Linked DNA regions of Drosophila melanogaster. The protein of the gene in region 2 interacts with the protein of the main gene of each other region in a pairwise test. Each region holds a gene or a part of one and is shown on either strand. Other genes may lie near its edges.

What was found.
Region 1: the proteins of CG15578 (region 2) and CG13168 interact in a two-hybrid assay, tested with the Drosophila melanogaster proteins (one large-scale study listed by BioGRID).
Region 3: the proteins of CG15578 (region 2) and CG12995 interact in a two-hybrid assay, tested with the Drosophila melanogaster proteins (one large-scale study listed by BioGRID).
Region 4: the proteins of CG15578 (region 2) and mbo interact in a two-hybrid assay, tested with the Drosophila melanogaster proteins (one large-scale study listed by BioGRID).

What each region holds. Positions count from the first base shown.
Region 1 is NT_033778.4:12,252,226-12,256,220, forward strand, and holds CG13168 (uncharacterized protein), read left to right. Parts: upstream 1-1,766; 5' UTR 1,767-2,135; coding exon 2,136-2,139; intron 2,140-2,195; coding exon 2,196-2,790; intron 2,791-2,846; coding exon 2,847-2,996; intron 2,997-3,048; coding exon 3,049-3,382; 3' UTR 3,383-3,476; downstream 3,477-3,995.
Region 2 is NC_004354.4:4,277,036-4,279,871, forward strand, and holds CG15578 (uncharacterized protein), read right to left. Parts: upstream 927-2,836; 5' UTR 828-926; coding exon 558-827; 3' UTR 512-557; downstream 1-511.
Region 3 is NC_004354.4:17,208,813-17,211,827, forward strand, and holds CG12995 (uncharacterized protein), read right to left. Parts: upstream 1,186-3,015; 5' UTR 1,150-1,185; coding exon 628-1,149; 3' UTR 556-627; downstream 1-555. Other genes in the region: CG32563 (uncharacterized protein), read left to right, coding at 1-197.
Region 4 is NT_033777.3:12,675,945-12,680,770, forward strand, and holds mbo (members only), read right to left. Parts: upstream 3,109-4,826; 5' UTR 3,058-3,108; coding exon 949-3,057; 3' UTR 543-948; downstream 1-542. Other genes in the region: Gnmt (glycine N-methyltransferase), read left to right, coding at 1-61; CG43630 (uncharacterized protein), read right to left, coding at 166-312; Cyp313a4 (cytochrome P450 313a4), read right to left, coding at 3,431-3,591, 3,659-4,244, 4,304-4,430, 4,474-4,546, 4,706-4,826.

The DNA.
Region 1 (3,995 bases), on a different chromosome or scaffold from region 2:
TTTCTCAAAAAGGTTCTTTATGGGGTTTCCACCCCATTCCATTCCATTCCCCATCCCCACCATTCCCTAGCCACGAACCACCACCCACCATTAAGCACAGTTAGTTAGTCGTTTCTTGTTTCTCGTTTCCCTTTCCTTGAGTCCATTGTTCCGCGGTATCTCCGCTGTTCTCGCCTCTCCCTCTCTGTCGCCCACTTCTGCGCGACGACTATGGCCAAAAGTAATCTTCCAAGGCAAATGTGAACCACAAACAAATTTATAGCTGCAATGCGGCCAGGCCGAGCATAACGGGCCCACATTTCTGTGAAATCTATGTGAGAGCAGATGTGCAGAGGGGATGGAAATGGAGAAATAGAACTCAAAAGGAAACTGTCGAGTGAGGACGACTATAAAAATATACAACAATACTGCCAAGGCAACGGGACATAATGAGCCAGGGCCAGACGGCCCGAAACGGTAAATGGTAAGCGGTAAGTCTCTAATCGGTTAACGGTAAAGCCGAGCTCAGCTGAGCGAATGTGGGCCACCAGCAGGAGAGCGAACCATTTTGGCTTTGGATTTTTGCTTTTGCCCTGCACCTCCTTTGCAGTACCGTTAGCGTTTTTCTGCGTTCGTGCTTTGCATGGCCATTTGTTACGTATACGTGTGCGCAAGACTCTCGTTCTCTCTGCAGACTTGCCTTATTTGGCTGCATACTGTAGGGCGCTCTCCCGTTACTCCTGAATTTCAAATTTCGATGCATAACTTGAGGCGCTCGCTCTCTCTTTCTGAATCTCTCTCTCTCTCTTGTTATGTCCCTTTTTACTTTACACGTTTTGCTGCACACTTTGAAAGCACATTCTCTCTTCTTGCTCTCTCTGCTTGTTTATGCGTCATTTCTTTTGGCTTTTTCTCACACATCTCTCTTTTTGCAAAGGCAACAACAAATATTATGTCTTGCTCAATTTTATTTTTCTTCCCTTTCATCTTGCCCTTCCTTTTTTTAGTTGGTTCGCATTGCAGCATTTTATTTGCTAGCTCATTTATGCAATTACTACTGCCTTTAGTTATAACATATTATATATTTATTCATTTTAAGAAAAAGTACTGACCCTTATTATATTATTACTTCGTCTAAGTAACTAAAATTTATTTAAAATTAAATTAGGTAGGATGTGCTGAGACTCCACTGTACTAGTGAATCCGATTTTTGGCAGATTGCAGCGAAGGGCTCCCAGATTACATTCACTCTGTGGCTCCCCCTTTCATGCCAGTTTCATTAGGTAGATTTTCCACCTGAGTGAGGAACATTTCACCACCACCACCAACCCCACCCACCAACATTGTTCTGCATTCACAAGTTCGTTTCATGCTCTTATGGTTTTCTTTTTTCCCAGCAAGCCCCTCTGCAGCGCATTTTCCCTCGTTTGCTTTGCTGCAGCAGCTTTCATTCATGCCACGTCAGTTGACATAATGCGACATGGCCACACACAAGCAACAAGCCACCCACCGAAGGCGAGCGCCCACCGCCCCCTAGAAAACCGCCCCACACTCTTCATTGTCGACTACTGCACTTGGCAAAAGTTTCTACCAGTCATTGCCATGAAAGTGCCATTCAAATTTACCGCCCCTCGCCACGCCCCCTTCTTCAGTTGCTCCTTGATCGAAAGGGTTTCTATTTGGTATATATTCTTTGGCTTTGCAACCAGGCAACACGGTCAACATAGCAAGCCATGTTTGTTTATCCCCAAAAACAATAACAAACTCGGCTCAGAATTCAAAAAGACCTCGACACAAGCATAGCCAGAAAATCGGAAAAACATAAATTATAGAAAAAACAAAAGAAGCATAGAAGTTAAGAATATTCAAACAAGTGAAATACGCTCAAGAACATTTAATGGAAAAAAAAGCTTCACTTTCCAGGTTGCGGCAGATTAATTGCACCTATCTGCTTTAACTTCGTGATTTCGTTAATAATAAATAGAAAATTCCTGTTGTATCCGAGAGTCGTTTAAATTAATACATTTTAAAAGAACCCGGCACACAATTATATCGCAAAAAGGAAATTTTGTAAAGTTATTAATGTCTGTGTAAACGAAAATCTTTCAATGAGGATTTTATATATGCGCCAGGATCCGTAAAGCTGCTAAGTAAAAATGGGTTAGTATAAAATGAATGTTTTAAGACAAAACCAGTCATATCCTTTTTCCTTCCAGATACCACCGCCGAACGTCAGGTGAGACTGGAAGGAGTGGAACGTGTGCTCAAGATGTCCCAGGAGCGCATCAAGATAGCGATGATCATACCGAAGCTGCTGGAGAATCCCGAGAAGTTGAAGAGCGTCCTGAAGGACACCTGCTATGAGGAGGTTCTCGAGCCCATCGATGACATGATCCGCCACCTTGGCAAGCAGAGTGGACGTTCCAAGCTGCCACATGACCACACCACCATGCGAATCGTGGACTTCTTCCTGGTCAACCATAGCATTCATCGATTCTTTCCGCACTTGAAGAAGAACCTAAACGAAAGGGATCGCCAATTGCTGGCCGCCTTTCACTTTCTCCTGGAGAGCGCCCACGTCCATCTGCACCGATCCTCGCGTAGCGAGATTACCAAGGAGCGAAAGCTCCATGCCATCTTTCATCAGAATGTGGACATCAAGAAGAAAATCAAGGAACTGAAGGCGAGCCTGGCCTTCCAGAAGGTGATTGGCAAATGGAAGACGGCCGCCAAGGGCATCTATCTGATGAAGGTCGAGGAGGATCTGGCCAATAAGAAGTGGCAGAACAACGTGGCCATTCAGAACGAAATGTAACTCGGATTTCTAGTTCTAGAAATTCTTATTTGAATATATTTACAAATTACAGTGAAAAGTGCCATCGCACGATGCGAAGCTACCACAAGAGCAGCATGGACAGGCAGAAGGAATTGGAGGAGGAGCTGCAGAATGCCCGGGAGAGCTACGAGAAGATGACCAAGAAGCATCTGGCCGAAGAGCACGAGCTGCGAAGCGAAAAGTAAGCTACAAATCGAGTAATTTATTATTTAAGTGCTCTCAATCCTTTATAGAAACAAATTGCTCCTGCAACTGCAGAGTATGCTTAAGAAGTACGATACCAGCCTGGGCGAAAAGATGCGTGAGAATTTGGTGGCGGAGGATCAGTATCTGGCTGCCAAGAAGGTCCTCGACGATTTTATGGTCCAGTACAGGCAGGAGGAGCGCATCTACAAGAACATCGTGGTCAAGCGAGAGGAGGAGGAACGTCGCGTGCAGCAGGAGAAGCTGGTCATCTTCATGATGAACCGGGCGGCGGGCAAGATTCAAAAATACTGGCGCAAGTGGAAGAAGGATCAGCGCAAGAGGAAGCGCCAGGGAAAGGGCAAGGGCAAGAAGGGAAAGTAGTGTCCCAAACCGGATCTCTGTATATTTCTACATTGTACAATTTATATGTAGAAATACGAATATATTCCAACCTTCTACTACTACTAACGTGTATATATGTATCCTGTTTTCTCATTATTTTTTAAAACTGTCACATGCTAAAAAGTTATGTTTGCTTGAGCTCATTTGTTGTTTGCAAGCTTTTGTGGCATGAAAATCACTAAGCATGCATAAGTACCCATGTATGCAAATTAATATTTCCATAAGAGAAAAGGCAAATGTTTACTCGCAATTAAATCGTGTTTACTTGGCACTTGACAACACACAGAAATTTTCTGGAATTTCTTATATATTCTAGAGTAAAGAAATGATTATTTCCTTTATTCAGCAAGGCTAACCAATTTTATTAAATATTTTTCTATTGAACTGCGATAAATTTCGCCTAAGACATTGTCAACGCGGTTTTTTCTATGGGGTCAGAGGGCGAAATGTGTGGCTTCCCTGCGATTGCGAAAATCCAAGAGAGAATGAAAACGCCTGGCAGAATGTTTACCCAACACGCACACACACACACACACACACACATACAGCGATGGAGGGAAAAGCCAAATTTTCATGTCTTGCGGGGCGAACG
Region 2 (2,836 bases):
CCAGATACGTGTGACAGCAAAAAGGCAAGCCAACTACATGAATTTCCTGACTGCTTCGATCCTCGAAATTTTCACATTATCATCACTCCGTAGAATGTTTGATTTTCACCGCTTAATTTATGATATAATTGCATATTTGGCGATTCAATGCAAACATTCACAAATATTTGCCACAAAACGCGTCTGCCACCAGAAGGCCAATCGGGCGTGGGATTCGGTGCCAAATGTAACGTTTAACGTTGGTAAAGCACAGTTTCGACTAATATCTGACTTTGCAGGATACGGATTGCGACCCTGTTACAGCTGCTACTGCGTCGATTACCCGGATGTTCAACAATTGGCAAGGCCCTCTTTACGTATATAATTAAAGTGCATACTTTAAGACCGAGATGTATATATGTGTCCAAACGCTTTAGCCGCCGTTGCACAGTACAAAAAGCCCCATGGAACATGATAATTTGTTAACTTCCCTACCAAATAATAACCAAATAAAACAAAAGGATACACTGTTCTGTTAAGGATTATTCTTCTTATCTGAAGTGTGGGTTTGGCGGTTTTCAAAGGTTCATCGGTTTGGTGAGGATCCAAGCGAGCAGCGAAATCTGGTTTCCCTGGCGCCTCAGAATGGCGCTTTCGATGCCATCGTGCAGATTGATTTGCACTTGGGCAAAGAATTCCGGATCGTTACGTTGGTACTGGCTGCCCAGGAAGATGTTCAGCTCTGTGTCAGTCATGGGTCGGCTAGTATGCTCCAGGACCATTATAATGGACTTAAGTAGGTTGGGTACCAACCGACGTTTCGGCAGTGTCGTGAAGATGTCGGCCATGTTTAATTTTTTTGTCGTTTTTTTTTGTGATTTTTTTTTTTTTTTTGGGAAACCAAATGTAAAAGTATAGAAAAATTTTGTTACTGACTCAACGGCTGGCCTATATCGTTATTAGCTAGGTAGGGGAACGAAAGTCCCAGCTATTTGTGACAGTAAAAGGCAATGCCAACTACATGAATTTTCAGCCTGCTTCGATCCTTGCTTTTTGGCCTTCTTGCCGGTGTGCTTCAACAGCATGGCCAATTAATCAGATGGCGACTGTGGCGGGTTGAACTTGAATGACCTCGAGGCATAAAAACGAAAACTGCAACAACAAAGGCAACAGCCAGAAAAGCAACAAAGAGCAGGAAACACAGCAACTAAAGAAAGGCTGATCGAGTTGATAGTGTCTTCAATAAATTAAAATACCCACTAAAGTATCTTGATTTGCAAGTTAAAGTGCGCCTCTTATTTTGTAACTTTTAGATTTTGCGTTGCAAAAATACATGTATATTTCTATTGCATCTTTGGGTGCAACAATTTTCCGAGTGTAGCCAGGAAGCGAAGGGCCCACAAACATCAAGTGACATTCGAGCAGAGACAAAAAGTCATTATCACGGCGACGTCGGGCCGCTCTCATCTCCACATCTCCGCATCTCCACCACTCGTGCCCACGATCTCGGCCATATATACATATATGTATGTATACCCAGGATCCCCTTCGCATTCGCATTCGCATTCGCCTCATGTTCAGCATATGGAGCACGTGGTTTGGAGTCATAGTCATCGCCATAGTCGCCACCGTCTTTGTCGCCATGTTTTTTGCCTTTTCCGGCATTTTGTTTACGATTACTTTTTGTTTTTGTGCTTTTACGTAGCATCTGTGCAGCTCAGGAGTGCATTGAAGGGGGATCGGTGTAATTTGAGTTATTGGTTGCTATACAGTAAAATATAAAGGGCAGTATTGAGCGAAAAGAAGCCGCCGGTAATCATAACAGTTTTAAGTTTGTGACAAAATCGTACACAGCATATTTGCTGAGATGTTTTACTGTATAACTAATTTAGCCGAAACTCTTCGTTCCAAGCACTAGGTATCGTTTAGTCCAAACATCAATACGATAACTTTCTTATTTGTTTTATTTGGCGTAGAGTTCTCTGCGCTCCCCAGCGTACGCGGATTTCCTTTCGAGATGGAGTTGGTAGACGGCAGTTTTCCCTGAATGATTTTCACTTGTTTGTTCTTGTTGTGTCCTCGTTGGCTGCTTTGTTCGCTTGTTCGGCTGGCCCAGGAGAAAGCCGACCCTGTTTTGCAGGACCTCCGTCCGGGATATATACACATACATATGTATATATACCGCCCAGTATTGCTCTGGGCCCCCTTCATCAGGAGCAGCCGCCAAGTGCAATTGTCATAAAGTGTCATTGGCTGACGTCGCGTCCTCGCGTCCTTTGTACAGTTGTTGGTGCGGTGAATCAACTTAAATGAGTATCCGCTTTGTAACTACAAGTGCGTGGCTTCGTTTTGTTCCCTTTTAGCTAACATCTTTTACCCAACAACCGGCGGGGAAAATAGAAAGAGTGAGTTAGAAGCCGGCCAATTGGCTTTGTGTGCGACTTAGCTTTGTTTTGGACCCCAGGTCTAGGTCTAGGACTAGGACTAGAGCTCGACTGAAGGATAAAGGATTCGGGCTACAGGATGCATGAGAAAAATCGCAGACAAAGGGCTCCCATTTCAGTGAAAGCAATTGAGCGAAAAAAAGCCCCAAGTCTTAATCCAAAACAACCGAATAGAATAAACTCTTTTTAAGTACAGATATCTAAAATTAGTAACTTTGTATTAATAAAAAATCATAATATGTATGTCATTATAAGCTACGATTTATATCTAGTCTCTATAAATGGCTGTATGATTCACATTTGGTAATCAGCACATAAGAGCTTAAACACACCTCTTTTTTAAACCCCTACGCTGCAATTACAAATCTACTTTGCAACTTTTTCGCGCGAGCACAACTGTACTTTTGGCATCT
Region 3 (3,015 bases), about 13 Mb from region 2:
CACTGGGAAATCCCTGGCCGCATTACTATGTGGACACCTTGACCGCATCGCATTTGCCACATTCAGTGATTCCATCGATTCCATCGATACCTTCGATACCTTCGATCCACGAACCCCGCATCGTGGTCAATGATAATGTGGACTTTTCGCAACTCAAATTGCCCCAGCATCAAGTTGTCCACTCCCACGGCCGCTAAATGGGTTCATTGCGAAACAATTTATAAACTATCATAAATAACTACTTTTCGGCGGTCTTATTACTTTAAGTTAAGTTTTTTTTTGTTTGTTTTCAATTTATTATTCAATAAAATTGCTATAAAATATATTGGTTTTTAAGGTTGACGAATGCATGGACAATATTTATATGTGTGCCAAAAACACAATTTTTAAATATGTAACATTTTTAAACATGCAGATTTTGTAATTAATTAAAATCCAGGACATCTTTTTAACTTATTTAAATTTTCATAAATACTTGACCATATTTATTTATAGGTTGTGCCCCCAAGAGAGCTTTTCAATTCAATTTAACTTACATTTATTTTAATAATCGTTAAAAAAAAAACACTTTTATAATAATATAATCTTTGAGCATTTTGATAGGTCTTGTGTGCGACTATCACAGTCTTAGTAGAGATGTTCCAGCTGGTGGTGCTCCGCCAGGTGGTGGTCGTGCTCCGCCTGGTGCTCCACCTGCTGTTCGAGTGCCTGGTGCTGGATGTGGTGCAGTTCGTGCTCATCCCGATCCTTGAACTCGTACAGGGTGCTGTAGCTGAAGGCGCCCTTGCCATGATCGATGCCGGGCACAGCCTTGTGGTCCTCGTAGTGGGAGTGCAACTCGCTGGCCTCGGCGTACTCCTCGCCGGCATCGCTGCTGCCGTAATCTGACGGGAAGCTCTCCTCGCCCAGGTGATCGCCGAGGGAGCCCAAGTGATCCGCCTCCGCGGAGGCTCCGAATTCGTGCGAAGATGAGCTGAAGTCCAGCTTGGACAAGGCCTCGCCGCCAGTCAGACCGCCGGCGTAGTGGCCCAAAAGTCCCGCCGAATGGACCACTGCATTGGAGGACACATCATCCCCCAAAGGATAACATTGGATGCCTAGCAGCAGCTGACCCAGAAGGATCATCAGTTTCAGGCGATAGGTGAACATGGTTGGATGTGGTAGAAGTGTTTTAACCGACGCGGCGAAATGTTTCGAGTCAACTAATTTACTGCTACCAACTGCATTGGATTTTATATGCTCGGAGCACTCACATTCGACCGCAAATACATGCCGCATTTTCCTGCATTTTCCGTCGACTTTTGCACACAGTCTTTTGTTTTGTTTGGCTAAAAGCGAAAAACACAGAAAAAAAAAAATGTTGCAACGGACATCTGCCTGCTGGCCGCTCGTTCGGCTGGAGCTGATAATTTGCTGCACTTACTCCGCATTACGTCGACGTCTAAGTGGCGGGGCCATTGAAAAGCCTGTTGCAATGGTGCGTATACGTAATAATTTTGGTCTTCTCAATTATTTTTTGGCTTTTTGGCCATTAGGCCCGTTCTCGGTATATGGACCATATTGCGTCATCTGTGGCATCCCTGTGGGCCTTAACCCTCCGCCTATTTGCACTTAAGGCGGAAGCTCGCTAGATTTTTGGCACAGGCCAACTAATTGGGTTTATCAACAGCAAATAGTGGAAGTAGAATGGCAAATATAAAGAGTCATTCACATATACGAGTATGTGAGTTGAAGGTGTATATTTATCGGGCCAAACAATGCAGTGAGATGTGTCCATTGTGCAAAGTGGCCAAAAAGTGCACTTAACTCATTGAGAAACTGTTTGGATAGGTACTTTTATATTTGATAAATATAAAATAGTCAAAGATGTAGAGTACAAACTTATTTGAAACATATTTCGCAAATTTATTAAATCACGAAAAGGATTTAAATACATTGCCAAAAATATTCTCTAAGAACAGCATCCGTTTATCAAGTCTTTTATTTTATATATTTCTCTCTTAACTTATCATCAGCGAGTCTTACATAAATCTATAACTCAAACTAACTCCAAATTATAGTCTAATGGATATAGAGCAATCTGAATTGATTTCGATTTCATGAGTCTCTCTACTGCAATTAAAAGCACAAGAAGCCAGCAGAGCGAGAAGTCCGCGCTCGATCGCCAGTAGTTTTTAAAAAAACCCACAGCTCCATGCGTCTGACATACTCACCAATATTCCCATTCCCAACAAGATATGGGTGCTATATACTCCATATATGGAGCACGAGTGCCTGGAAGATTGCAAAAGGTGGAAAAGCGAAACAAAACCGTTACCGATGTACATATAAACATTTGCCGTCAATTCAGCGCGCTATGTGCGAATAAATTTCCAAAAACTAAGAAAATCGGTTTGTAGCGAAGTTCGGCTGCTCTCATTAAATGAATAATAATATATGAATCAGTAAAAAAAGTCAAGAAAATATCAATCAACAAATAATACTAGTAACAAAACTTTATCGAAAGACATCTGAGAATATAAGCTGAAAAAAGCCCAGGAAGTAGAGAGAATATTATATTTTGAAAACTATAAATATTAAATGAAACAACTGATAAATATTTATTTTATCACAATAATTAAAAAATTAATTTTTTAAATGGTTAGTTGCTTCTATGGTATATTATACTATCCCATTAGGATTGACATTTATTGGGTATTTTCTTTGGGTGTAGCTCGGCATTTCTTCGAAGTCGGCCAGTGTGAATAATTGGGCAGTATTAATCTGTGAATCCACCATCCAAATGGCCAACTGGAAGCACTCGCATTTGGGCTATTGGCGCTTCTGATTGCCGCTGTTTATTCCATGTTGCTGGTTGCTAGTTGCTGGTTAATAGTTGCTAGTTTCTGGCGGGTTGCGTGCCGGCAACATCAACGAACAGCAGCAGCAACACCACCAGTCGGGCTCACAAATTACCAATGTAATAGCACCGCTTGTTTTGTGTTTAATTTTGATACCCCTTAGTCTTTGAGAAAG
Region 4 (4,826 bases), on a different chromosome or scaffold from region 2:
GATGAGCCAGGTGAAGAACCCCGCCTTCTACATTCACCTGATCGAAAAGCCACAGGTTTAGATTTAAGTTTTTAGTTGTATTCACATAAGGCCACAAGACACATCCATATAAATATACATAAAGTTCCTTCGATTCGCACAGTCTCGAGTCTCCTCAGTTTTCTTCTAAACCATTATGCAGAATCGACCCACGATGGAGCCAAAGCACAGGGTCACCATGGCGGCCTCGATCACGAACGGGAATTTGGCCTTCACGTAGTTGAACATCCCGGTGTAGATGTTCGACAGGGCAGCCAGTAGTATCAACGTCATCTCTCGTCCGCCGAACTTCGCTTTAGACTGTCACTAAAACGCAATAGCTATCGAAACCCTCAATTCTTGGGGCGAGTGTCATTAGCCTTGCAAATGCTTTTCCATTACGTTTTCAATGGGTTCTGCTTTGCAGAGAAAATGAGTAACGATCGAAATGCGATACTTTAAAAACCAAATACTAGAAAAATTTGTGGTATTCTAATAACAGTGGAGCTGAAAGTTGGAAAACTATGTTACAGCAGTACTACAATACTTTGTATTTCCGAATTATGATGTATGAAGTCTACTATTATTATTCATTATTTTATTCTTATTATTATTTTATTACTATTATTTTACTTTTTGAACTATAATCCGGAAAATGGGACAGTACGTCAAGAATAGATTTTACTGTAGTAGACTTTGTAGCACAATACCCATGGGTATCAAATGTTTTTGTGTCTTCATGAAGGATCGTCTAGCAGAAAACGCTGACGTATGCTCATTAAAGTGTCATCGAATACAAAAAACAGAAGCCAGCTAACGAAAATAGGACTTAATTGACATGTTTATTAAAAATACGTTTTAGTTCTACGCAACGGCTTTACTATCACGAAAACGTGGTGAAATCTTAAGAGCGTGCTTCCCAATCCGAATTTAGATGCCAACGATTTTATTAATGCGCTTGACGTCGGTGATCTGGCGATCGATCTCCCCGGTTAGCTGGGTAAGTATCTCGGTGATAGTGCGGTGCTGTTTCTCCGGCAGCTCGTACGCGTTCTTCTTGAGGTCCTCTTGACTCTGGGCAATGTGGTAGCGCTGCTTGTTAAACGTCTTCTTAGCAGTCTCCAGTCCAGCGGCCAGGCTCTGGGTGACCTTATTAAGTCGAATCACCTCCTGCGAAAACTCCCGTTCCGCAATCACACTATTGGGTAGTGAGGCATTGGCCCTCTGCATCAGAGCGTTGCACTTGCGGACGAGCAGCTCCTGGTTGTAGCTAATCTCCTCGAAGCGCTCGGCAAGCTTGTGGGCCCGCTCGCTGATCAGTTCGCGTTCCTGCTCCAGGTCTTGGATCTCCTGCAGCTGTTGTTCCTTCTTCAGCTGGATCTGGTTGATGTGGCGTGTAAATGCGGCGCGCACAAGGTCATGTCGTTTAAGGTACTGCTCACGAAGCACCTCGATTGCCTGGTTAAGCAGTTCGAAGCTCTCCTGGGCGGATGGCGAGGAAAGTTTATCCGCCAAGATGGGCTGGTTAACACTACGTTGCAAAAGCGATTTAATCGTATCGACAAACGGTGGCCCACTTTCCTGCTGAGACACTTCCGAGTCAACTGGCTTATTCTCATTAGGTGTAACCAACAGCTGGGCATCAATTACCAGCTTAAGGCTAATCACCTGACCGCTGCCCAGCAGTAGAACTATACCGGCAGGAATTTGTAATAGGGCAAGTCCAAAGACTGCGTTCACCGTCTCACTGGAATCGAATTTTGTGCACAGAATGTACTCTGCACTTGCAGAGACCGCCAGCTCTAGACGATCTTCATCGGACTCGCTTTCCAAGTAACGTTGCAGCTCTGCGATAAAGCTGACCGTAACGGCATGAAGTCCTGCGTTGTGGTAGGCAAAGTAGCGAAGCTCATTGATCAAATCCCGCTTTAAGTATATGGGACAGTTGCCTCCTTCTTTTCCAGTTGCGGGTGCAGATATTCCCAGCTCAAGTTCGACAGTTTCTAGTACATGTACAACGTATTCGGCGGGTTCAATCAACACAGAGTCGTCAACCTCATTGAAAGAATGCTCAGTGGCCTCCGCCTCCATAAGCAGAGCATGGTGAAGCTTTCCATTGGATTCAGCTATAACAATGGTCGGCGGAAGTGATGGGATAATCATTAGGGCACAGGACTCCAGTCCATAATTGTCATGTGCCTGTGGCGTTATGGTAACGGGGCCCTGCAGGCGCGTATTCTCCGAATCCACGCCGGTCATCAAAATGTAGATGTTTCCATTCTCGCGGAGCACAACCATGGGCCACTCTATCCTCTCCTGTTTCGGCAGCGATTTGGCCGCCACAAGGGTTTTGTTGCTCTTATCCAAAGTGGTTTCGTTATTGCCGGCTGTTTCTGGTTCAGTGACACGTGGTTTTGCAGCAGGAGCGATGTCAAAGTCAACGGCTAGCTCGCCAAAGTCGCATAGCGAGTTATTGGCCCCACTTCGAAGCACCGGGGGACCCACCTGCCACACGTGGCGCAACTTGGAGTGATTGTACACTCGAATCGTGTTGTTGTTGAGCAGCACGAGCAGCGTGGAGTCTGACACGGAGTGCGGATGCCAGCGGACCTGGCGCACTTCCAAGTGCGGGTTTTTTAGGAAAAGCTGAGTGTCCAGGCCGAACGTGCGGCAGGTGATCACTGGCTTGCCATCCTTGTAGTATCCATCGGGGCCCCAGCGGCGGGGCAGCTCCATTATGACAACGCCGCGCGGTCCACTTAGTGCCACGAGGGAGCCCTCGTTGGAGGCCAGCACGCGGTCCACCTCCAGGCTCACCAAGCTCGATGGAATCAGTGTCTGGAACTGGATATTCACCTTTGCCGCCAGCGATGAGCGCCAGTTGCGAACCAACAGACAGCTGTCCTTCGCGTGCCAGGCAAAGAGCAGATCGTCCTTGCAGTCCAGCAGGTTCTGAGTCCTTTGCACCACGGGCAACCCATTGCGAATCTTCGCGAACAACTCCGTTTTGTTCAATTCCAAGACATCGGTGAGCGACATCGTTTGTTTATGCTTCAATTCGTTGCCCGGCTTGTAAGTCAATGCTAGTGTGATAGTAGTCTTCGGAAATCCGCAAAGTATTTTTTTTTAGTATTTTTTTAATTCGAATTCATGAAACAAGAAATTTGTTAAAAAAACGCTAACACCAACATTTTCGGAAAATGTACTAATAATTATTGCTGCTTAAACTTTTCAACGAAAGACGTTAGCATAAATCATGCTATAAATTTAAAAAATGGAATAATTGATTAATAGTTAATAAAAGATTATAAAAGGTAGATGTTATTATTTTTTAATATTGGTATAATTCACAGAACCCATTAATTCAACAACTTTTAATAATCTATTTAAAATCACTAAGTGCTATAAACATTTAAGTTCTCTTTTGGAGCTCCAACAGTGGCACAGATTTCAACTTCATCGTAATATCTTCAACAAAGTATAGATTTTCGAAGGGAAAACTCGTTTTAAACCTATAATTCCGCAATAACTTGGCTAATGTAACTTTCGCCGATATTAAGGCATATCTCCAACCTAAACAGAAGGAAATAATAAGAATATAGCTAAAACAATGGTCATAAATTAGCGATCACTCTGTTACCTATGCAATTTCGAATGCCCTTGGTAAAAGGTATATAGGCGTACGGATGCTTGTCCTGGATGTTGTGGGGGAGGAAATGATCTGGGTTGAAGGTCTCCGCATCCGGACCCCAGATCTTTTTGCTTCTGTGCATGTGATAAATGTCGATGGCGATCTGGACCCCTTTGGGAACCACTATACCATTGGACAGCTTCAGATCCTGAGACGTTTGTCGGGATACGACAGGAACAGGGGGTATTACTCTCATGGATTCGTTGAGGATCAGGTCAAGGTACACCATCTGCTGGGTGTCCGCGTAGGATACATCAAAGTCTCCTGTGTTTGGGAATATCGTCTTTATTTCCTCAAAGGCCCTCTCCTGGTATTCCGGAAACATCGCCAGCAACATCAGGGTGTAGTACACTGCATTAGCCGTGGTCTCAAAAGCTCCAAAAACGATGATATTCGACTCATCCTCAACATTCTTCAGGGTAAACACTCCTCGTCTCATCAAATCCGTGACCAGATTTAGAAATAGGTTTTTATCATTGGACTGGATGGAAGGTAGTGCTCCCATTTCGTCCTCGGCCAACTTTCTCTCAATTATCTAAAGGGGTTAAGAGATTCGTAAGTGAATAAGCGGAGGGAGTAGTTGGAGGTGCTCACCTTCCGAATAAACTGACGAATCTCAGTTTTGGCCTGGTAGTAGTGCGATTCCTTTCCAGCCAGCTGCCGGCAAAATCGGCTATTGAGCCACGGAGAGAAGCACATATCTGTCATGGTTTCCAGGATGCTATTAATGGATAGATGCATTCCGATTCCAAGTCAAAACTCACCATTGGTATCGCCCCAGCAAGGAATTGCTCCTGAAGCTCTCTTCATCCTTTACATCGCTGCCCATGGTGGTTTCTGCTTTCATATAAGTATATCATATATTTAATATCAGATCGACTCTTCTAACTGAATTATGCATTCTGGCTTTCGACCACTTTGTATGCAAACAACAAACGTGATAGCCATAATTTATGAGTCTTTTTTTAAACAAACAACACATTCTTCTTTACTCACGGGTGGCAATTCCCAGGGTGAAGCTCTGCAGCAGTGGAATGAGATCCTTCTCGCCGTCATCCTGCAGTGGTTCGAGTTGATCGAGCAGAAGGGCCGTCTCCCGGTTGAAAATGGGCAGGAA